4 linked regions of the Macaca mulatta genome follow. The protein of the gene in region 1 interacts with the protein of each later gene in a biochemical or structural test. Links are inferred from orthologs where the notes say so. Each region holds a gene or a part of one and is shown in the gene's direction. Other genes may lie near its edges.

Region 1 (5,601 bases):
CAAATAGCTGGGATTACAGGCATGCACCACCGTGCCCAGCTAAGTTTTGTATTTTTAGTAAAGACAGGATTTCACCATGTTGGCCAGGCTGGTTTCAAACTCCTGACCTCAAGTGATCTGCCCACCTCAGCCTCCCAAAGCGCTGGGATTATAGACGTGAGCCACCATGGCCAGTCTCTCCCCATATTTTATTTTATTTTTTCTTTTCTTTTTTTTTTTTCTTAGACAGAGTCTTGCTCTGTCACCCAGGCTGGAGTGCAGTGGTATGATCTCGGCTCACTGTAACCTCTGCCTCCCAGGTTCAAGCAATTCTCCTGCCTCAGCCTCCCAAGTAGCTAGGATTATAGGCACACACCACCATGCCCGGCTAATTTTTTTGTTTTGTTTTGTTTTAGAGACAGAGTCTCGCTCTAGTCTTGCCTAGGCTGCAGTGCAATGGCATGATCTCAGCTCACTGCAACCTCTGCCTCCCGGGTCTAAGCGATTCTGCAGCCACCATGCTTGGCTAATTTTTTTGTACTTTTAGTAGAAACAGGGTTTCACCATGTTGGCCAGGCTGGTCTTGAACTCCTGACCTCAAGTGATCCACCCGCCTCGGCCTCCCAAAGTTCTGGGATTACAGGCGTGAGCCACCGTGCCCGGCCTAATTTTTTTATTTTTAGTAGAGATGGGGTTTCGCCATGTTGGCCAGGCTGGTCTCGAACTCCTGACCTCGTGATCCGCCCACCTCAGCCTCCCAGAGTGCTGGAATTATAGACGTCAGCCACTGCACCCAGCCTCTCTCCCCATATGTTTTTTTTTTTTTTTTTCTTTTTTTTCTTGAGACAGAGTCTAGCTCTGTCTCCCAGGCTGGAGTGCAGTGGTGCGATCTCGGTTCACTGCAAGCTCCGCCTCCCGGGTTCACGCCATTCTCCTGCCTCAGCCTCCCGAGTAGCTGGGACTACAGGCATCCGCCACCACACCTGGCTAATATTTTTAGTAGAGATGGGATTTCATCGTGTTAGCCAGGATGGTCTCGATCTCCTGACCTCGTGATCCGCCCACCTCGGCCCTTCCCCATATTTTATACCTCAATTTAAAAAATAATAGGCTGGGTGCAGTGACTCATGCCTATAATCCCAGCACTTTGGGAGGCCAAGGCAGGCAGGTCACCTGAGGTCAGGAGTTCAAGACCAGCCTGGCCAACATGGTGAAACCCGTCTCTACTAAAAATACCAAAATTAGCTGGGCGTGGTAGCAGGTGCCTGTAATCCCAGCTACTCAGGAGGCTGAGGCAGGAGAACCATCTGAACCTGGGAGGTGGAGGTTGCAGTGATCTGAGATCGTGCCACCGCACTCCAGCCTGGCAATAGAGTGGGACTCCATCTCAATAATAATAATAATAATAATTTTAAAAATAAATAAAAAATAATAGTAGCTGACATTTATCTGGCACTAACATCACATGGGCCACTGTTCAACTCCCTTTGCCAAAATGAACTCATTCATTCCTTAAAACCACCCCACAGGCCGGGCGCGGTGGCTCAAGCCTGTAATCCCAGCACTTTGGGAGGCCGAGACGGGCGGATCATGAGGTCAGGAGATTGAGACCATCCTGGCTAACACGGTGAAACCCCGTCTCTACTTAAAAAAATACAAAAAAATAAACTAGCCGGTTGAGGTGGCGGGCACCTGTAGTCTCAGCTACTTGGGAGGCTGAGGCAGGAGAATGGCAGGAACCCAGGAGGCGGAGCTTGCAGTGAGCCCAGATCGCGCCACTGCACTCCAGCCTGGGCGACAGAGCGAGACTCCGTCTCAAAAAAAAAACCCCAAAAAAACCACCCCACTTTACAGATGAGGAAAACTGAGGCCTTGAGAGGTGAGATCAGTTGCCCAAAGTTACAGAGTTCATCGGAGACCAGGCTGGGCTCTGAACTGGATCTTGTCCCCAAGTCCTGGCCCTTAGCCACTTTGCTGGGCTGCGTCTCAGCAGAGATAAGAATGACTGTTTTCAAGCCTGTTTTCTGGGTTGTTAAACGGACACAATGGATACAAGGCAGGTTGCCGAGCGAGTCAGATGAGACAGTGTAGACAGCAGCCGGCACAGGGTCTGCCGGGGAAGTTTCAACGTTAGCCAGGCGGTGATGTTCGCCTTGGGATGCCGTGGGGCCGAGGAGTGGGCATCGGGCGAAACTTCCCTTGAACCAGCTCTGGAGCAATGCCCTTGCGATCGACACGAGAGGAACAGGGCCAGCTGGGGGCCAAGGTGACAGCTGAGCCCCCCAAGGGCGCCTGCTACCCGAGCCCCCGAGGCCTCCATCCCAGGCCCAGCCTCCCCAGAGAAGGGGCCAGAGGAACAGCCAAATCCCAAGGCTATAAATACCTCGGCTGGCGTCGGCCCTGGCCGTGGAATGTCGGTCAGAACTGGGGCGAGTGGGGGTGGGCTGGCCTGCCTGGGTGCCTCCCTCCGTTCCCCTGGGGGTGACCCCTGAGACTCTCTGTACCCCACTTTGGATGGAGTAGCAGCTGGATCCCACCTCTCTGTAGCAAGGGAGGCCCAGGCCACGGCCCGGCCAGGGCCCCCAGAGGCACCATAAAAAGGTCAGGCTCTAGGTTGAGGGAACTGCACCCCAATTTCTACCAAGTATCTCCCCAGAAATCACCTGAACCCGCCCCGGTGAAATGGAGGTCTCTGTCTAACCCTCCCCTGTCTCCCTTTCAGTGAAAGAATTCTTAGCCAAAGCCAAAGAAGATTTTCTTAAAAAATGGGAAAGTCCCGCTCAGGTAAGGCCACCGGGTACAGAGTCCGGGGAGGGGTGAGCTGGTGACCCCCAGCCCCCAGCTGCGTCCCAGCAACACAGCTAGAATTTCAGAAACCCCGTGGAAGGCTTCAGACCCTCCCCATTCACTCCCTAGGTACCCATGGGGGCTCCTGTGTGGAGACACCTGACTGCCCAATGCCAGGCACCCCCATCCCACCACCCCTTCCAACAGCCCGCCCCTGCCCCTAGCACAGCTGCCAGCAGCTCCCAGGCCCCAGGCCAGGGCCGGATCTGGCCCCTGCCACCCGCCTTAAGGAATGCGCCCTCTGCCATCTTGATTTTCCGCCCCCGTCCTCAACCCCGCTGACCCTACGTGCTCCCCGGGGCCCCCTCTGCCGGTGGCAGAGGGGATGCCTCAGACCTTAGCCCAGCAGGCCGCGGGGAGGATGCACCCTGAGCCTGCCGACCCCTCTGCCCACAGAACACAGCCCACTTGGATCAGTTTGAACGAATCAAGACCCTCGGCACGGGCTCCTTCGGGCGGGTGATGCTGGTGAAACACAAGGAGACCGGGAACCACTATGCCATGAAGATCCTCGACAAACAGAAGGTGAGGTGGCCCGTCCTCGCCTTTGCCTGGACTGTGCCCACTCCTTGGAGTGTCCTATCCACCCGTTCACTCACTTGCTTTGCTTTTTCGAGTCAGAGTCTTGCTTTGTTGCTCAGGCTGGAGTATAGTGGCGCGACCTCGGCTCACTGCAACCCCCACCTCCCTGGTTCAAGCGATTCTCCTGCCTCAGCATCCCGAGTAGCTGGGATTACAGGCACCCGCCACCACACCCAGCTAATTTTTGTAATTTTAGTAGAGATGAGTTTTCACCATGTTGGCCAGGATGGTCTCGAATTCCTGACCTCAGGTGATACACCTGCCTCAGCCTCCCAAAGTGCTGGGATTATAGGTGTGAGCCACCGCGCCTGGCCACTTGCTTTTTTGCGGGGAGACAGGATCCTGCTCTGTTGCCCAAGCAGGAGTGCAGTGACGTGATCATAGCTCACTGTAGCCTCAAACTCTTGAGCTCCTCCCGAGTAGCTGGGACTACAAGCACACACTACCATGCCTGGCTAATTTTTTTTTTTTTTTTTTTTCAAAGGCAGGGGGCCTCTTGCTGTGTTGCCCAGGCTGGTCTTGAACTCCTGGCCTCAAGTGATCTACTTCAGGCTCCCAAAGCGCAGGGATTACGGACATGAGCTTCCACGCCAGGCTCACCCACTATTCCCCGAGCCCCCATAATGTGCCAGCTCCAAGGGTCGAAAGGGCCCTGTGCTGCCTTCCCAAAGCTCCCTCTCCAGGCCGGCCATGCATTCAAAGCTGGGCACTGTGACACAGGGTCAGACACCAGTCCAAAGGGAGGAGGCCAGGAGCATTCTTGGGGAAAGCGGTGTTTACGTGGACTTTCTTCCCGTAAATATTTTTGTGATCCAACTTTATACCGGGCACTGCTATAAAGCAGCAATGTAACCAACAGAAATGTAACCCAAGCCACAGAATCGATTTTAAATTTTCTCTTTGCTCCATCATAAACAGTAAAAAGAGCCAAGCATGGTGGCGCATGCCTATAGTCCTAGCTACCAGAGGGGCTGAGGCAGGAGGATTACTTGGACCTAGGAGTTCAACTCCAGCCTGGACAACACAGCCAGACCTCATCTCTTAAAAAAAAAAAATTGTGGCCAGGCACGGTGGCTCAAGCCTGTAATCCCAGCACTTTGGGAGGCCGAGACGGGTGGATCACGAGGTCAGGAGATCGAGACCATCCTGGCTAACACGGTGAAACCCCGTCTCTACTAAAAAATACAAAAAAAAAAAAACTAGCCAGGCAAGGTGGCGGGCGCCTGTAGTCCCAGCTACTCGGGAGGCTGAGACAGGAGAATGGTGTGAACCCAGGAGGCGGAGCTTGCAGTGAGCTGAGATCCGGCCACTGCACTTCAGCCTGGGTGACAGAGCGAGACTCCGTCTCAAAAAAATAAATAAATAAAAATGTTTTTAAAAAAATTGTAATTAAAAAAGAAAGTGAAAGAAGCAGATGACATTCATGAAATTCATTTTAATGACATGTTTGGGGCTTTTGTTTTTTTTTTTTTTTTTTGAGACAGAGTCTCACTCTTGTCGCCCAGTGGTGTGATCTCAGCTCACTGCAATCTCCACCTCCCAGGTTCAAGTGATTCTCCTGCCTCAGCTTCCCAAGTAGCTGAGATTGCAGACGCCGCCACCACGCCTGGCTAAGTTTTGTATTTTTAGTAGAGACGGGGTTTCACCATGTTGGTCAGGTTGGTCTCAAACTCCTGACCTCAGGTGGTCTGCCCGCCTCGGCCTCCCAAAGTGCTGAGATTACAGATGTGAGCCACCGCGCCCAGCCTAATGATATGTTTTAATTAAGCCAGTATATCTACAGTATTACCGTTTCCATATATTATCAATGTGAAAATATCATTAATGAAACATTTTACATTCCTTTTGTTTTTTTCCCAGTCCTTCATGACTTCGGAAATATTTCCTTTTTTTCTGTACTGAAGTGTCTTTAAAATCCAGTGTCCATTGGATGCTTACAACAGGTCTCAACTCTGAGGGTAAATTTTTCCTGGAAAGAGGAGAAAAAGGAGGGAAGTTGAAAAAGCTAATTCAGGCCTGGCGCGGTGGTTTACACCTGTAATCCCAGCACTTTGGGAGGCCGAGGCAGGCAGATCACGCGGTCAGGAGATCGAGACCATCCTGGCTAACACAGTGAAACCCCATCTCTACTAAAAATACAAAAAAGGTAGCCGGGCGTGGTGGCGGGCGCCTGTAGTCCCAGCTACTCGGGAG
Region 2 (5,861 bases), on another chromosome or scaffold:
GTAAGAAGGCCAGGGTTCATTCAGCTCAGCATGATTCCAATGTGTAAGAGGTAGATCAAGAAGGAGAGGCTGGTTGTTAAAGAGAAAACTCAGGTAGAGAGGAAACCTGTGACATAAGACCAGAGGGAAGACGGTATTTGGAAGAGAGTGTGGTCAAACATGTCAAATACTGGGATGAGGGCTTGTAAAATGAGGACTGAAAACGATCCGCTGCATTTACAGACATGAAGCTTGTCTGTGGACAATTCAGAACCACTCCAGGTGAGCAGTGGGGACACTGGAGAGGGCTGGGAGGTGGGATGTGAGAGACTGTCCAGGGGTAAGAGACAGCTGGAGTTGTTGCAGAGCAATTTAGGGAGAAGAGAAATCTTTTTAAAGAATTGAGAGACTTAAGCATGTTTAAATACTAGTAAGAAAGAGCCAGTAGAGAAGGAAACGTTGAGAGTAACAGAAGGAAAGGAGACTTGTTAAGGGCAAAGTCTATGAGAAAATAGTAGGGTACCTGGAGTACCAGGAAGGACAGTTCCTTACAAGAGAAGTGAGTAATGGGCGGAGTCCAGATTTGAACACTCTCTGCTTCCTAAAGACACGTCTCCTTTAAAGGACAGAAAAATAATGATTAAGACTTGAGGCCAGGCGCGCTGGCTGACGCGTGTAACCATACCACTTTAGGAGGCCAAGGCGGGTGGATCACCTGAGGTCAGGAGTTCCAGACCAGCCTGGCCAACATGATGAAACCCCATCTCTACTAAAAACACAAAAATCAGCCAAGTGTGGTGGCAGGTGCCTGTTATCCCAGCTACTTGGGAGGCTGAGGCAGAAGCTGCAGTGAGCCGAGATCGTGCCACCGCACTCCAGCCTGGGCGACAAGACCTAGACTCCGTCTCAAAAAAAAAAAAAAAAAAAAAAAAGACTTGAAACCCCAGGGAGAGGGGCGCAGAGTTCACTATCAGGGAGAGTGGGGACCTAGTGGTGTGGTCCTGGGCGACCTCTGAGAGAGCAGTTCAGTAGTTTCCAGCCACGGAAGTCCCCCTGCTGGGTTTAGGGTGCAGTGGGTGCGAATCCCTGCTGTAGAAAACAGGCTGAAGAAAGCAAGCCACACAGGATGTTGTCTGGAGAAGGGCGGGCAGGTGGGATGGGGCATATTTCCAGCGGTCCCGGCAGGTTGTGGCTCGGAGGCCTCCGAGGGCCGTCGACGTCAGCCACGGCCGGGGCAGAGCGACGGCCCGGGCAGAGCCCCGGGAGGTGCCACAGTACCGGGGCCAAAGCCCCTCAGAAAAGCATGCTCCGCCGGCGGCCGCCAGGTTTCTCTGCGGAGTCTCAGAAAGGAAAACCCGTCCCCACGGGGGTCCCACGACGTCCCCGGGTCCCAGGCGCCGGGACGTTGGCAGAGGCGCAGCAGACCTTCCTCCCCAACCCGTACGGCTCCCGCGGTCCCCCGTCTCCCGGCGGCGTCGGAAAGTTCCCGGGGCTCGCGGCGGTCAAGACCAGAGCCGGGGCAGCCGCAGCCGCCTTCTTAGCCCGCCGCTCACCGCCACAGAGGCAGGCCTGCGTGGGGGTTTCCACCAAGTCGCCGACACCCCTCAGGAATTCCCCTACTGGGCCACACACAAACCCCGCTTCCTCCTTCAAATTTCCGCCGCCAGCTTTATCGATCCGAACGCCGCGCTGGGGTTTAGACCACTCCTCCCGGCGCCGGGCTCAGCCCGCCTTCGCCTTCCCTCTCCCGGCGGAACCCGTCCGCCTCGCGCGAAGAAACCCGAAGGCCTTCGGCAAGTTCCGTCCCCAGCGCGGGGGCGGGGCCGCTCGAGCTGCTCCGGGCCCAGCTCGGCTGTTTCCGTGCGCGGCCGCTGCGCACTCGGCACTGGGCGGCGCTGGCTGGCTCCCTGGCTGCGGCTCCTCAGTCGGCGGCGGCTGCTGCTGCCTGTGGCCCGGGCGGCTGGGAGAAGCGGAGTGTTGGTGAGTGACGCGGCGGAGGTGTAGTTTGACGCGGTGTGTTACGTGGGGGAGAGAATAAAACTCCAGCGAGATCCGGGCCGTGAACGAAAGCAGTGACGGAGGAGCTTGTACCACCGGTAAGAGGAGCAGGAGGAGGAGGCAGGAGCCAGAGAGAGCCGGGGGGACGGAGGGGGGACGGGGAGGCGCCGGACACCCGCGCTTGGGGCCTTCCCCTCGCAGGAGGGGCCGCGGTAAAGATGGAGCCTCCGCCCGAGCCCCACAACATCGCCGCCGCTCGCAGCGAACAAAGAATAATGGCGGCGGACTGGAGCCAGCGGCGGCCGGGGCGGCAGCGACTCTGCCTGCAGCCAGCGGCGGCGCTCATGGCGGGGGGCGGCGGGCGGCGGGCGGCGGGCGGGGTGGGAGCCGGCGGCCGGGGGTGTGTGCGGGCGGCCGGCCGCGGCGAGCTGGCGCCCGCGTTCCCGCCGCCGCCGCCGGGCCGGGCGCGGAGCCGGGAGCCCGGAGCCGCCCCGGGGGAGGCCGCCCGCTCGGCCCGGCGCTGCCCCCCGCGCCGCTCGCTCGTCCGGCCCCCGCCGCCCGCCTCGCCCCCGGCCCGACCCGGCCTGGCCTCCGGGGCAGCCGCCGCCTAGGTGCCGGTGGGGGGTGGAGGAGGAAGAAGGCGACAGTTGAGGGCAGAGGAGGTGAAGGTGCCTGCTGCCTTCCCAGTGGCCTCGGTGTCTGCCATGCCCGCTTCGCAAGGGGAAGAGCTGCAACGTCTGACCTACTCTTCTCTCCACTCTTTGTGCAATAAAGTTCGAAACCCAAGGTTTCCTCTCGTGCTGTATTTTATTCATGCCCTTTCCCCTCCGCTCCCACACCGTTGAGGAAATGCTGCTTTCTGCCCTGTGCTGCTTAGTTGAGAGATGAGAGCTTGTGTTTTGGGGGGAAATTTTTTACTCCTTCACCCCCTTGCTTTTTTTTTTTTTTTTTTTTTTTTAAAGTCAGTAGTCATGGAAATGCATGCTTTTTGGGAGAAAGAGGGTGCTAAGAAAAACATAATAACTTTTTAAACTGTTGGGATCTTATAAAAGGGAAGCTGGCGTTTGAAAACAGTTTCGGTTTTAACCCTTTTCAATAAGGTAATCATTACTCGAGGTCTATCATTCTGAAACACTTCGTTGAAACGAATTATCAGCCGATGTACTCTTGTTTTACATCATTTCGCGGGGTGCAACCTTGCCAACCGCGTTTGAGTTATCTGGATCTCCCCTCACCCTGTCCCACTCCCCCTACCATATTTCCCACGAATTTCTTCGTGAACTTTAATGAGAGATTTAATACTACTTCTAAAAATAGACTTTAAAGTATCCATTATTTCTCTCTCATGCAGTAGGTAACCCCCGTCTTGAGATTGCCAGTTTAAGCCACAAGCTGTATTTTTTCTTCGCCTGTTGGGAAAAGAGGACAGCAGAAAAATCATTGACACATTAAAAATTAAAAGAATTTTTAAAGGACATGCGGTATGACCTATTTAAGTTTGTAATATCATCCCAAGTTATAATTCTAACCTCAGCTGGCGTCTGCCTTCTGAAGGTTTAGTAGAAGATACTTTTGATTGCTGCCTATTGAAATATTTTACATTTATGGCTCATTTCCTGATTTAAAAGTAAAGCCCCAAACAGTTATTTTAGGTGGTGCAAAAGACGAACAAGTTTGTTTTAAAAATACTTGTCTGTCACTGTATGATTGCATTGTGATCGACACGTACAAACCTTCTGGTTAGGAACAAATACTGATTGGCACCAGAAGCACTGTCTTATTTTTCTGTATCCTAGTCACTTTTCCAAAACGTGCTTTGTTGTATTGCTTCTCTTTAAAAGACCACATTAGCAATTTGTCATTTACAAGAAACTTAAGAAGATGCGGTAAAGGGAGGTTTTCTATAAAGATTGGGAAAATGATTTTATTTTCAAACACTGAAAAAATTATATTGATAATGGTGAGTTACCATTTTTCCTTTATGATGTTCTGCAAGCCAGTATCAGTTGAGTAGATTTTTGTTTGTTTGTTTGTTTGTTTGTTTGTTAAGAATGTAAGTCGGGTGCGGTGGCTAGGGCCTGTAATCCCAGCATGTTGTGGGGCTGAGGAGGACAGATCACTTGAGGTCAGGAGTGCAAGACCAGCCTGGCCAACATGATGAAACCCCATCTCTACTAAAAATACAAAAATTAGCTGGGTGTGGTGGTGCGCGCCTGTAATCCCAACTACTCGGGAGGCTCGGGTTGCAGTGAATTGAGATTGTGCCACTGCACTCCAGCCTGGGCAGCAGAGCAAGACTCCGTCTCAAAAACAAACAAACAAAAAGAATATACGACTCTTCATTTGTGAGATTTTTAAAAAATTGTTTGCTGATGGCCGAATGCGGTGGCTCACGCCTGTAATCCCAGCACTTTGGGAGGCCGAGGCAGGCAGATCACGAGGTCAAGAGATCGATACCATCCTGGCCAACATGGTGAAACCCCGTCTCTACTGAAAATACAAAAAGCTGAGTGTGGTGACGTATGCCTGTAATCCCAGCTACTAGGGTAGCTGAGGAGGCGGAGATTGCAGTGAGCCAAGATTGCCCCACTGCCCTCCAGCCAGGCCACAGCGAGACTCCATCTCAAAAAAAAAAAAAAAAATTGTTTACTGATACGTTCTTTCTTCAGTCTTGCCCAAGAGATATTTTAAATTGTATTTTTTATTTTAATTTTTATTTATTCTTTTGAGATGGAGTTTCGCCCTTGTTGCCCAAGCTAGAGTGCAGTGGGGCGGTCTCGGCTCACTGCGAGCTCCGCCTCCCGGGTGCAAGAGATTCTCCGGCCCCAGCCTCCCGAGTAGCTGGGATTACAGGCGCAGGACACCACACCCGGCTAATTTTTGTGTTAGTGGAGACGGGGTTTCACCATGTTGGCCAGACTAGTCTCGAACTCCTGACTTTGTGATCCGCCTGCCTCGGCCTCCCAAAGTGCTGGGATTACAGGTGTGAGCCACCTTGCCCAGCGTATTTTATTATTTATACATTCATAATTTGTGATTCTTAGCAATTCCAGGTGGAACTTCAAACTTTTATATTCATTAATATTGTGAACATTCACCTGGAACATGTGACTAAATTGTACTTCTCCACTGTTCCAGCCATCGGTAAAAATTACAGCTGGATCCACTTGAATCTTTTTTTTTTTTCCCCCATGAACACCTGCATTTAGAAAGCTAATAAATTATTTGACAGAATTTGCTTGAAGAATATTAAAAGAACACTTCTTTGGGAATTTAAAACTTAAGTGTTACCTGTTTTGAATGAATTTTTCCCCCCCTACATAAAGAGCCTGAAGAAACTTAGAAACCTGATCCATAAAAATGGCACCTTTCTTTTTCTACTTTCTGAAACTCATATGCCTGATTAGGTCTCATTATTAGAAGTTTTGGTTTCTTCATAGAGAAGTAGCTTTATTTCTCTCTCATTCTAAGACATTTGGTTTTGTTGTTTGGGTACAGTAAGGTTATGGGGTTATAGTAAAACCAAGTATGTGTCTTCTTCACCTGTTTTTAAATTTTTTCTCCTTTTTATAACAGTAGGGAAAATTATTTATTTTTAACCTAATGCTTACAGTATATTACCAAAATTTATAGTTTCATTTATTCCATAAATAGCTTATCAGATATCAGTTACATAAACTTGTTTACAGCCAGCTTGTGACATAGTTTTGCAAATATCTTGATATATGGTGTAACTTTGATGGCTTCTTTATTGAATAGAGCTCAAATCTAAATTTAAGAGTGTAGTAAGATGTCAAGATAGAAAAATGCAGGAATTTTCTTTTTCTTACCCATATGTGAACTCATCTCTACGGCAGTATCACTTGAGACAACAGTTTATGGTA
Region 3 (5,093 bases), on another chromosome or scaffold:
GACCTGGCTTCCTTTAGTCCTGTCTCATCAGTGTAGCTACTGTTTGTTAACTTGGCACAGAAAGGCAGATCAAATACAGGGGTCTACTTTCATATCCTCCTCTTAATAGTTATTAAAAGCTCAAATTTAGTAGCTGAGTTCAGATCTCTTATTAGATGAATGACTTATTGATGTAATTTCTCTGAGCATCAGCAGAATGAAGGTTTATAGTGCTAACTCATACACTTGTGAGGGTGATAACAATTACAACAATAATAGTAGTAGCTAACACTTTCATAGTGCTTAGTATGCCAGGCAGTGTTCTGAGCACTTTATATATATTAACACATTTAATTTTCTCACAATTGATAATGTGAAGAATAATAATACTCTCATCATGAGAATGCTCGTAGATACTACCACTTAAATTACGAGGAAACTGACGTACAGAAAGGTCAGGTAACTCATTCAGGGTCACATAGTTAATTAAGAGGTAGAGCCATCATGTGAACTTGGGCATCTGGCCTCAGAATGCAAGCTCTTAACTGTTAAGGTTTATTCCCCTCTAACGTGAGAATGTCTATAGAATGCATAGCACATAGGTCCTCAGAAAATTAGAGATAAATTAGCTTTGCAGAATGTGGTGGTTCCATTTCCTCAAGAAATTTGGTCTACCTTTGTGGTACCAGATATATGCATAAATGTGAGGTTCACATTATGATTCTTCAGTTTTTTTTCCCAGTTGCACATTAGTTATGAGATTTTTTTTCCATAGAATTCTTCAGTATTACTCATGTTAAAAAATAATTGTTTGGAAATGAATCACCTTCTGCAAAACAGTATAGTCAAAATGACTTAGACTCTGAAGCTGAAAGACTCCTGGACTCCTATTCTTGTCTTGGTTGTGTACTTTCTTTGAGATCTGGGTTTGGTGATTTGACTCCAGTTCTATTTCTCTCTTTGGCTGTGGACTGAAGATAATCCTCAGTATCATGATACTCAGATAACCTATGTCAAAGTGCCCCGCAGTGTGTGTAATATGTTATCAGGCATCCAACAAATACTGGTTTCTTGTTCACCTCCCTATTACATAAAATAACTTAAAATTAGAACTGAAGGGACTCATAAAGCTGGGAAAACTGAGGCCCAGACAGTTATTTCCCTAGGATCCTACAGCTACTTAGGGACAGAAGGATGACACTTAATGCAGGTCTTCTGATTTTTCAGTCTCATTCTGTTTGTGCTGATCACTCTCCTACTATGTAGTATGTAAAGAAGTACTATGTATCTGACAGGTTTTGGGGAAGTTATTTTAGTATAAAAGCTCACATTAAAAATATCTATCTTAGTATTTTGACTTTTATAATTTTTTTAAAAATCAGAGACAATTTAATATATCTTGGGGCCATTCAAATCATGTATATGAAGTTTTAAAACTGTTGTTTTCCCTTATAGTTATTAATTTTTAATATGCAAGTAGCATCCTTATTATGGAAAGAATAAATAAGAAATCAAAAGATGAAAGAAGTTTTAAAACTAATTTAATCACATCGTCCAGAGAAAATGCTATTAATGCTTTGAAATAACAATGGGTTCATCCTACACCTGCTACCTTGTAACTGACTTTTGTCAGTTAGTGATATATCAGGAAGACTAGGCAGTTCCTTGTCAGATTCAATCTTGATAGGTTTTATTTTATTGTGTGACCTATTATCAGTTCATTTAAGTAATCTTTTATTAAACATGTTGATTTTATTCAGATATGGAAACTGCATTTTTGTAAAATTGTCAAATTGTTTTCCACAAGTAGAATCTCATTCATGTGGTATTCATGTTTTTAAGACTTTCGATACGTATTCACTATTTTCCTCCAGAAAGGAAATACCTGTTTACATTTTCACCAGGGAAGTCACTGTAGTTTGGGAGAACATGACATTATCTCCCTTTCTTTACTGAAGACTAACAATGTATGTTTTAAAGTTTCTGGATTCTCCATTCCCCTTTTATTTTTACATGTTTTCACTTTCATATTTTGCATAGTGATAAATCTGTGATAACAGTTTTTAATTTTCAGGTTGGGTTGTTTATAGCTTCATAGATAACAAAATGTCTCTAAGTCATGTTTATGCAATTTTTACCTGTGCTTTGTGGGTTTTCTTTTTTCTCTGTTTGCATGCAGTGAGTGGTAAATTTGCATGGAACATTTGAAAAAATATAAGCACCAGAATGAATTGAATCTGTGTGAATTGTCACTTTTTGTCACCTACCTGCATAGTTTAGACAGTCAAAGTCTTTCTTTTGAGACAAAATTGGATCTCATTTGTCTCTTCACTTACTTGCTGTCTTGTTACTGAGTTTCTCATGATTAGCAAGATGTAAATTCTCTGCCATTGGTCATTTAGTCCTACATGTTAGTAAGATAATTCTGTGAATTTTTTGAAAATTAGCTGAATTATTTTTCTTATAATTTTGATTCTTCGTAGTTTTTATTTCCATACTTGTGAATTTGGGACCAAAAGGAATAGCTATGACTTACGTTTCTTTGGATCCAGTAGTTTATTCTACTGAAATTATGGTGTTCTCATCATCAGTTAGTAGAAGTACAGACTCTTTAGTGTTGAATATAGAGATAATGTCATCTAACTTCTTACTTGATCACATAATTCCTTCCTCAGTTTTGGTAGCTCTCTTGTAACAGCTGAAATAGGACATTAATCTGTGTACTTTAAGTTCACAGAGTAAAAGGAATATAAGATTTTGAGTGATGCAACTTAAAATACTCCATCTTGTAATGTGGAACTAAGGAGGAGGTTTAGTGACAAGTTTTAGATTTAAGATTATATACTTTGGAGCCTCTTTTTCTTTTTTATTTTCCTTTTTTTTTTTTTTTTTGAGACAAAGTCTAGCTCTTGCCCAGGCTGGAGTGCAGTGGTAGAATTTCGGCTTATGGCAGCCTTGACTTTCAGGCTCAAGTGATCCTCTCACCTCAGCCTCCCAAGTAGCTGGGACTACAGTGCATGCCACCACACCTGGCTAATTTAAAAAAAAATAACACTTTGTAGAGAGTAGCCTCACTAGGTTGCCCAAGCTGGTGTTGACCTCCTGGGCTCAAGTAGTCTGCGTGCCTCAGCCTCCCACAGTTATGGGATTGATTACAGTCATGATCTACCTCACTCAGGCTGCAGCCACTTTCTTTCAGTAGCTTTGGATATTCCACTTACAAATTTATTTTTAAGTCTCCCATGTGGTTGATAATTGGGAAAAATAGTTTTTATTCCAGATAGATATTCTGTGTTAACTGTAAGTCAAATGTTTACAAACTGTTAAAAATGAAATAGTGATTATGTAAAGGAAAACTGGATTTTCCTAATGCTAATTTTTAAAATGATAGAATCCTAAAACTCTTAGCTGTAAACCTGGTGATTTTTCAGCTGTTGTACTAAACAACTTAAGCACATATACCATCAGACGAGCCCCCCTCCCCCCTTTTAAACCAAAGGAGTGTATACTCTGTTAATGCAGTCAGTAAGCATTGACATTCTTTATCATATCCTAGAAAATATTTATTAGCTATTTCACTAGTCAGGGGTTGTTGGTAAATAGTGCATCTCCATTTTCTACTTCTCATCTTCGCACACAGGTTAATCACTTCAGTGCTTGACTAACTTTTGCCTTGATGATCTGTTGGGCTTTGTACATGACAGCTATACTAATCACTGTGCTTATTGTTTGACTGTTTGGTACAGGAAGCGAGCAGCTGCAAAGCATCTAATAGAACGCTACTACCACCAGTTAACTGAGGGCTGTGGAAATGAAGCCTGCACGAATGAGTTTTGTGCTTCCTGTCCAACTTTTCTTCGTATGGATAATAATGCAGCAGCTATTAAAGCCCTCGAGCTTTATAAGATTAATGCAAAACTCTGTGATCCTCATCCCTCCAAGAAAGGAGCAAGCTCAGCTTACCTTGAGAACTCGAAAGGTGCCCCCAACAACTCCTGCTCTGAGATAAAAATGAACAAGAAAGGCACTAGAATTGATTTTAAAGGTAAGATGTTTTATTTTTAATTGAGAATTGTTGGCTGAAAACCATGTGGGAGATTTAAATGTATGAGTTTTTATTTGTTTTTTCTTATGTGACATTAAGACATTTTGATACTGTAGAACCAATTTTTTGTTTTGGTAAAGGACAGGAATAATAACTACATTTTACAGGTTTAATCGTTGCTAATTAGAAGCAGATCATATGCCAAAAGTTCATTTGTTAATAGATGGATTTGAACTTTTTAAAATTCTTAGGAAAAAAAGTATTAATTGATAGTTAATCTCCAAAACTAGGCCACAACATCTATTTAAGTTATAGAATAACTGGACTCAGTATCTGGCATGAGTTCTGGAACCTCAGGATGATGTGATGAAAGAAGTAGGAAGAGGAAGCAGTGGGTTTTTTTCCATTTTAGAAGGCAAGACAAAATTTTGTGATAGTTATGTGAGAATTCTACATTTCCTTCAAATATATGCTTCTCACTCTCCTCACAAACATTTGGTACAGTCATGCTGCCAAGGGTGGTGACCTACCAATGACAATCTTCACTCAGGTCTTTTGTTTTTTAAATGGTCCTGTGTCCAAAATTCAGGATTCGATTACCTTGTCGCTAATACTAAAACTCCAAGTTATTTTCCTCAGTGAATGTAATTAGTAACACGGTAATCAAATTTTTGAATGACTGCCAGGGCTTAGCGCCCCTGCACCCCCACCCCCATACACACGCAGAGGCAATTGTATTTTAAGAGAGAAAGCTTTTTGTTTATGACGTGTAAGTGACAGAATTTTAGAGGCATTTGCCTCTAAAACTTTCAGTAACATCATCTGAATCAAGTTTGAAAGAATTAATGAAGTGGCATTGTGTTATAACCTCTACTGTTTCCACAATAGAATTATTTTCGTCACTTTACACAACTTTGTTGCTTCAGAGTGTATAGTTCTGTTTCATGAATTAGCTCACACACTGTGGAAAAATAGGTAAATGTCTATATATATAGTGTGTCAGTATAATGTGGAAGCTGCATTGACTCTATTGTACACAGTTCTCCAGTAAGTGTGCACCACAGAGTAC
Region 4 (5,612 bases), on another chromosome or scaffold:
GAACACGGGCAGCCTGGGCCCCAGGCCCCTCACTCAGGGGCATGGAAGGGCAGTCTCTTCTCTCCAGGGCAGACCGGGTGGGGGTTGGGGGTGTCTCCTCCCTGGGCCTACCCCAGAGTCAGGGATGGGGGGATGCAGAGGCCCAAGGAGCGGAGTCCCTGGCCTCGGTCGCTCGTGTCGTCCTGGCTGGAGGGGGAGAGCCAGCCGATGCCCGTCGGGTCAGGGCAGCGGCCGCTGCAGGGGGCGCCCAATGCCCCGCTCTCCCCCTCCCCAAGCTGGGGGAGGCTCTCCTCCAGTAATGCGGATGGGGAGGGCCTCTGCCTTCTGTCCTTGTAATTCTCGAAAGCTGCCCCCCGCCCCACCCCCCCCACCGCGTCCACTCTCCAGCCTCAAGGGGCGGGAGGAGGCGGATGCCAGGTCCTCAGGCCGCTGATGGGAGAGCCGGCTCAGGTCGTGGGGACCCGGGGCTCCGGCTCCCCGGCTCCCGCTGCTCCGCCCCCTCCTGCGCCTGCGCGGGCGCTGTTCGCTACGCAAATTGCGCAGGGGCCCGACCGGCTCCGCAGTCCAGCGCCGCACCCGGCGTGAAACCGTACGAGAATTGGCGCGAGCTGCGCCGCTGGCGGGCGCCCGGGGTTACGGGAGGCGGCTGGAGGGCGGCCGAATTGCGGGGGCCGTGCCGCATCCAGGGGGTCCCCGGGTGGGCTGTGCCTGGGCGGTCCGCCTTAACTTGTATGGGGGGCCGGCAATTCCCACGCTCCTCTCTCCTATACCCAAATCGGGGTCGTACCACCCAGCCGGGGGCGGCAACGGATTCCCGTCCCTCGGCCTCTGAAGAAAACTTCCGCCCATAGCCAAGATGGCCCCCGGGCCCCGCCCCCGGGCCTGAACCCGCGGAGCCCCGAATCCCCAGCGCGGGCCCGCCCCCCGCCCCGGCGCGCCCGCGGCCCTGCTCACCTGGCCGGCCGCCTGCCAGGCCTGAAGCCCCCACGGACCCTACGGTCCACCCTCACCGGGTCCCCGGCCCTCCTCCCGCGCCCGGGCAGCCATCCCAGCCAGGGAGGAGGTTCCTCTCCTTATCTCCAGTGCCCCCGAGGTGGCGCGGGAGGTGTCCCCCGAGGCGGGCGGCGCGAAGCTTCCACGCCTGGGAGGAGGAGCGGGGAGCGGGACTTTCCGACCGGGCACCCAGTCCAGGCGGAGCGGTAACAATAGCAACAATAATCGCATCCGACGGCTGAGCTTCAGTTGTGGCTGTGCCAAGCGCCTTCGCCCGCAGTAATCACTCCCTTCACAAAGTTTTCACTGGCTCCTGGGGGAGCTGTCACTATCCCCACTTCACTGGGGGGAAACTAAGGTCCAGAGGGGCTGAAGGACTTGTTGGCAGAAGTGGGTCTCCAGGTTCCAAATGGGGACCCCAGAGAATCCCTCTCCTGCTCCCACACACGTCCAAGGTGTGAGGCAGCGAGGATGTGAGCACCAGGGCTGCAGGAGGGAGAAAAAAGGCTGCGGGCGAGTAGCCGTAGGTCCGGCGGGGGGGCGGGGCCGGGCCGGGTTGACCCCGCCTCTGGACCTACCCGAGTGACGTTCCGAGAGGTGATTGGGCCAGGTCGCTGACAGTTCCCGTTGCCCAAGCAACTAGGGCCGGGAGCCCGGGGTGCAGGAGGGAGGCGGCAGGCCCGGGTCAGGGGCCTCGAGATCGGGCTTGGGGTGAGACCTGTGCGCCGTCACCACGGGCGGGGCGGGGCCTGGGTAGGGGCCTGGGTCCACCAGGGTTCTGAGGGGAGATTGAGGCCCTGAGCCGACAGCATCAGCTCCCTGCCAGGCCAGACCCAGCAGACAAATGAGGGCCCGGGAGGCCTGGCGGGCCTGGGGGCCCTAGGGTGGGAGAGGGAGCCAAGGGTACCTACCTCTGCCTTCCAGGGCCACCGTTGGCCCCAGCTGTGCCTTGACTACCTAACATCTTGTCCTCATAGCCCAGAGCATGTTCCAGATCCCAGAGTTTGAGCCTAGTGAGCAGGAAGACTCCAGCTCTGCAGAGAGGGGCCTGGGCCCCAGCCCCGCGGGGGACAGGCCCTCAGACTCCGGCAAGCATCATCGCCAGGCCCCAGGCCTCCTGTGGGACGCCAGTCACCAGCAGGAGCAGCCAACCAGCAGCAGCCATCATGGAGGTAAGTACCCCACCACCTCCACCTGCCGGGTCACCTCACCCCCAGCCCACTGGCTCCCTGCATCCCAGTTGTATCCACGGGCACTGAAGGCTTTGGGTCGGTCCCTAACCTCTCAGAGCCCCAGTTTCCTCTTTTGTAAAACAGAGCAATTAATAACCACCATTGTAGGACTGTTGAGTTAATTAGCAGGAACATATAGGATGCACTTGATTACAGAGCTGGTGCACATTAAAGCTAAAAAATGGTAGCTGCCAGGCATGACGGATCACACCTGTAATCCCAGCACTTTGGGAGGCCAAGGCAGGAGGATCGCTTGAGCCCAGAAGTTCAAAGCCAGCCTGGGTGACTTAGGGAGACTCCATCTCTTAAAATATGTATATATATATATGGCAGCTATTAGTGTGGGGCCAGGACAGAAATTAGTGACAGGCAGGCAGGCAGTGATCCGAAAAGGAAAAGGGGCCTACCTAAGGCCATACCTGCCTGGCATTTCTTTCCTTAGAAGGTGGGGGCTGGAAGACTCCTTGGTGCCCTGCCCCAGGCTACATGCTTTCCCTGGGATTGGGCCTTCCAGCTCCCAGATGTGTTCTTTCTTGCCCCGAGGCTTGCGCCCACAGCAGGCCTGTCCTGGCACAAAGGCCAGGGGCAGGTGACCTCAAGGGGCAGACGGTCCTCCCAGACAGCAGGGCTGTGTGGGGTGGGAAGCACAGGCTCCAAGATGGAAGGATAGACACTGGGGTTCAGTGTCCATTTCTCAGTAGGCTCCACCACCCCTGTGCCCAGCACTGGCCTTGGCACCTGGAACAACAACATATATCTTCTGAACACAAAAACCAGGTCAAGCCAGGTGGGGTGGCCCATGTCTGTAGTCCCAGCAGCTCAGGAGGCTGGCTTGAGCCCAGGAATTCAAGACCAACCTGGGCAACATAGCCAGACCCCATCTCTAAAAATAGAAAACTAGGTCATGTCACTCTGGCACTGAAGCTTAAACGACCTCCTTCCCATTTTCAGGATTAAGAAGGCTTAAGAGGCCTCCCCTCCCTCTCTTACGCACAAACACACACACTCAATTCTCTCAGATTGGATCCCATAGCTTGCTTTCTTTTTTTGTTGTTGTTGTTTTGTTTGTTTTGAGACAGGGTCTCGCTCTATCACCTAGGAGGGAGTACAGAGGTGTGGAGTACAGAGGTGTGACCTCAGCTCACTGCAGCCTAGAACTTCTGGGCTTAAGCGATCCTCCCACCTTACCCTCCCAAGTAACTGGGAATACAGGTGTGTGGACTACACCTAGTTAATTTATTTTTAACTTTTTCTTTTTTTTTTTTTTCTGAGACAGAGTCTCACTCTGCCACCCAGGCTGGAGTGCAGTGGTGCAATCTCAGCTCACTGCAACCTCCGCCTCCTGGGTTCCAGCAATTCTCCTGCCTCAGTCTTTCAGGTAGCTGGGACTACAGGCATGTGTCACCATGCCCGGCTAATTTTTTGTATTTTTAGTAGACATAGGGTTTCACCATGTTAGCCAGGGTGGTCTCTATCTCCTGACCTTGTGATCCGCCCGCCTCGGCCTCCCAAGGTGTTGGAATTACAGGCGTGAGCCACCACGCCCGACATTTTTCATGTTTTCATTAGAGACGAGGGCAGGGGCGGGTCTCCTTTTGTTGCCCAGGCAGGTCTCAAACTCCTGGGCTCAAACAATCCTCCTGCCTCAGCCTCCAGAACAGCTGGGACCACAGGTACATGCTGCCACACCAGCTCATTTTTTATTTTTTGTAGAGGTGGGGTCTTGCTTTGTTGCCCAGCCTGGTCTCGAATTCCTGGGCCCAAGCGATCCTCTCATCTTGGCCTCCCAGAGTGTTGGGATTACTGGCGTGAGCCACCATGCTCGGCCTCCACAGCTTTCTTTAACTTTCTGAGCTTGCACTTGGCTGTTTTTCTGCTCACAAACTCCCCCTGCTTTCTGCCCCCCGCCACACACACTCAGCATTGACTTGTGTCTCAGAGTGAGTGTTCACCATGTGACACAGGTTGTTCCAGTTGCTAGGGGGACCTCGGTGAACCCAAGCATCAGGAATCCTTGCCCTCGTGGAGCTTACGTTCTAGTGACGTGGTGGGTCCATAAGCAAACAAGCACAAAAGTGCATCCTATCATGGATGAGAAGATTTGTATGGGGGCAGCATGTAAGAGTTAAAAGAAGCTGGGCACGGAGGCTTACACCTGTAATTTCAACACTTTGGGAGGCTGAGGCAAGCGGATCACAAGGTCAAGACATGGAGACCAGCCTGGCCAACATGGTGAAACCCCATCTCTACTAAAAATACAAAAATTAGCCAAGCATGGTGGCATGCACCTATAGTCCCAGCTACTCAGGAGGCTGAGGCAGGAGAATCACTTGAACCCGGGAGGCGGAGGTTGCAGTGAGCCAAGATCACACCACTGCACTCCAGCCTGGCAACAGAGTGAGACTCCGTCTCAAAAAAAAAAAAAAAAAAGAGTTAAGAGAATCCAGAGTCACGGGGCTGGGGGAGTGATGGTAGCAGAGGTGGTCAACACTCACTTGGTGAGAAGCACCACTGGAACCAAGGCCACAGGGATGATGGGAAGAGAGTTCCAGGCAGAGGGAAGGGCAGGTGCTAAGGCCCTGAGGGCAACACCTGCTCCCAGCTAGGGTGGGCCTAGAGGAGGGGGTTAGGAAAGGGTCTTTGGAGACCTAAAGTTGGAGGTCATTGTAAGGACTCTGACTTTGCCTTTGGGTGAAAACCTGGAAAGGCTTTGAACAGAGGCAGCATGGTCAGATTTAGACATTCAGAGAGTCACCAGGGAGGTGGTGAGAAGTAGCTGGCCTCTGGATTTATTTATTTATTTATTTATTTATTTATTTATTTATTTATTTTGAGATGGAGTCTCGCTCTGCCGCCCAGGCTGGAGTGCAGTGGCCGGATCTCAGCTCACTGCAAGCTCCGCCTCCCGGGTTCACGCCATTCTCCTGCCTCAGCCTCCCCAGTAGCTGGGACTACAGGCGCCCGCCACCACGCCCGGCTAGTTTTTTGTATTTTTAGTAGAGACGGGGTTTCACCGTGTTAGCCAGGATGGTCTCGATCTCCTGACCTCGTGATCCGCCCGCCTCGGCCTCCCAAAGTGCTGGGATTACAGGCTTGAGCCACCGCGCCCGGCCTATTTATTTATTTTTTTTTTAATTTTTATTTTTTTGTTGAGACAGAGTCTCGCTTTGTCGCCCAGACTGGAGTGCAGTGGCCGGATCTCAGCTCACTGCAAGCTCCGCCTCCCGGGTTCACGCCATTCTCCTGCCTCAGCCTCCCTAGTAGCTGGGACTACAGACGCCCGCCACCTCGCCCGGCTAGGTTTTTTTGTATTTTTTAGTAGAGACGGGGTTTCACCGTGTTAGCCAGGATGGTCTCAATCTCCTGACCTTGTGATCCGCCCGTCTT

Evidence for each region.
Region 2: the proteins of PRKACA (region 1) and CREB1 form a complex in vitro, tested with the Homo sapiens proteins (2 studies listed by BioGRID, with this or other methods). The link is inferred for Macaca mulatta from reciprocal best matches to the Homo sapiens genes PRKACA and CREB1.
Region 3: the proteins of PRKACA (region 1) and UBE3A form a complex in vitro, tested with the Homo sapiens proteins (2 studies listed by BioGRID, with this or other methods). The link is inferred for Macaca mulatta from reciprocal best matches to the Homo sapiens genes PRKACA and UBE3A.
Region 4: the proteins of PRKACA (region 1) and BAD form a complex in vitro, tested with the Homo sapiens proteins (2 studies listed by BioGRID, with this or other methods). The link is inferred for Macaca mulatta from reciprocal best matches to the Homo sapiens genes PRKACA and BAD.

The regions. Positions count from the first base shown.
Region 1 is NC_133424.1:14,692,299-14,697,899, reverse strand, and holds the start of PRKACA (cAMP-dependent protein kinase catalytic subunit alpha), read left to right. Parts: upstream 1-2,086; 5' UTR 2,087-2,197; coding exon 2,198-2,396; exon of another isoform or gene 2,397-2,580; intron 2,581-2,701; coding exon 2,702-2,763; intron 2,764-3,222; coding exon 3,223-3,351; intron 3,352-5,601.
Region 2 is NC_133417.1:112,792,349-112,798,209, forward strand, and holds the start of CREB1 (cyclic AMP-responsive element-binding protein 1), read left to right. Parts: upstream 1-2,022; 5' UTR 2,023-2,075; intron 2,076-5,861.
Region 3 is NC_133412.1:4,570,256-4,575,348, forward strand, and holds part of UBE3A (ubiquitin-protein ligase E3A), read left to right. Parts: intron 1-3,725; coding exon 3,726-4,024; intron 4,025-5,093. UniProt on the Homo sapiens protein: E3 ubiquitin-protein ligase which accepts ubiquitin from an E2 ubiquitin-conjugating enzyme in the form of a thioester and transfers it to its substrates.
Region 4 is NC_133419.1:10,113,328-10,118,939, forward strand, and holds the start of BAD (bcl2-associated agonist of cell death), read left to right. Parts: upstream 1-1,646; 5' UTR 1,647-1,704; intron 1,705-1,970; 5' UTR 1,971-1,978; coding exon 1,979-2,165; coding exon of another isoform or gene 2,166-2,169; intron 2,170-5,612. UniProt on the Homo sapiens protein: Promotes cell death. Successfully competes for the binding to Bcl-X(L), Bcl-2 and Bcl-W, thereby affecting the level of heterodimerization of these proteins with BAX. Can reverse the death repressor activity of Bcl-X(L), but not that of Bcl-2.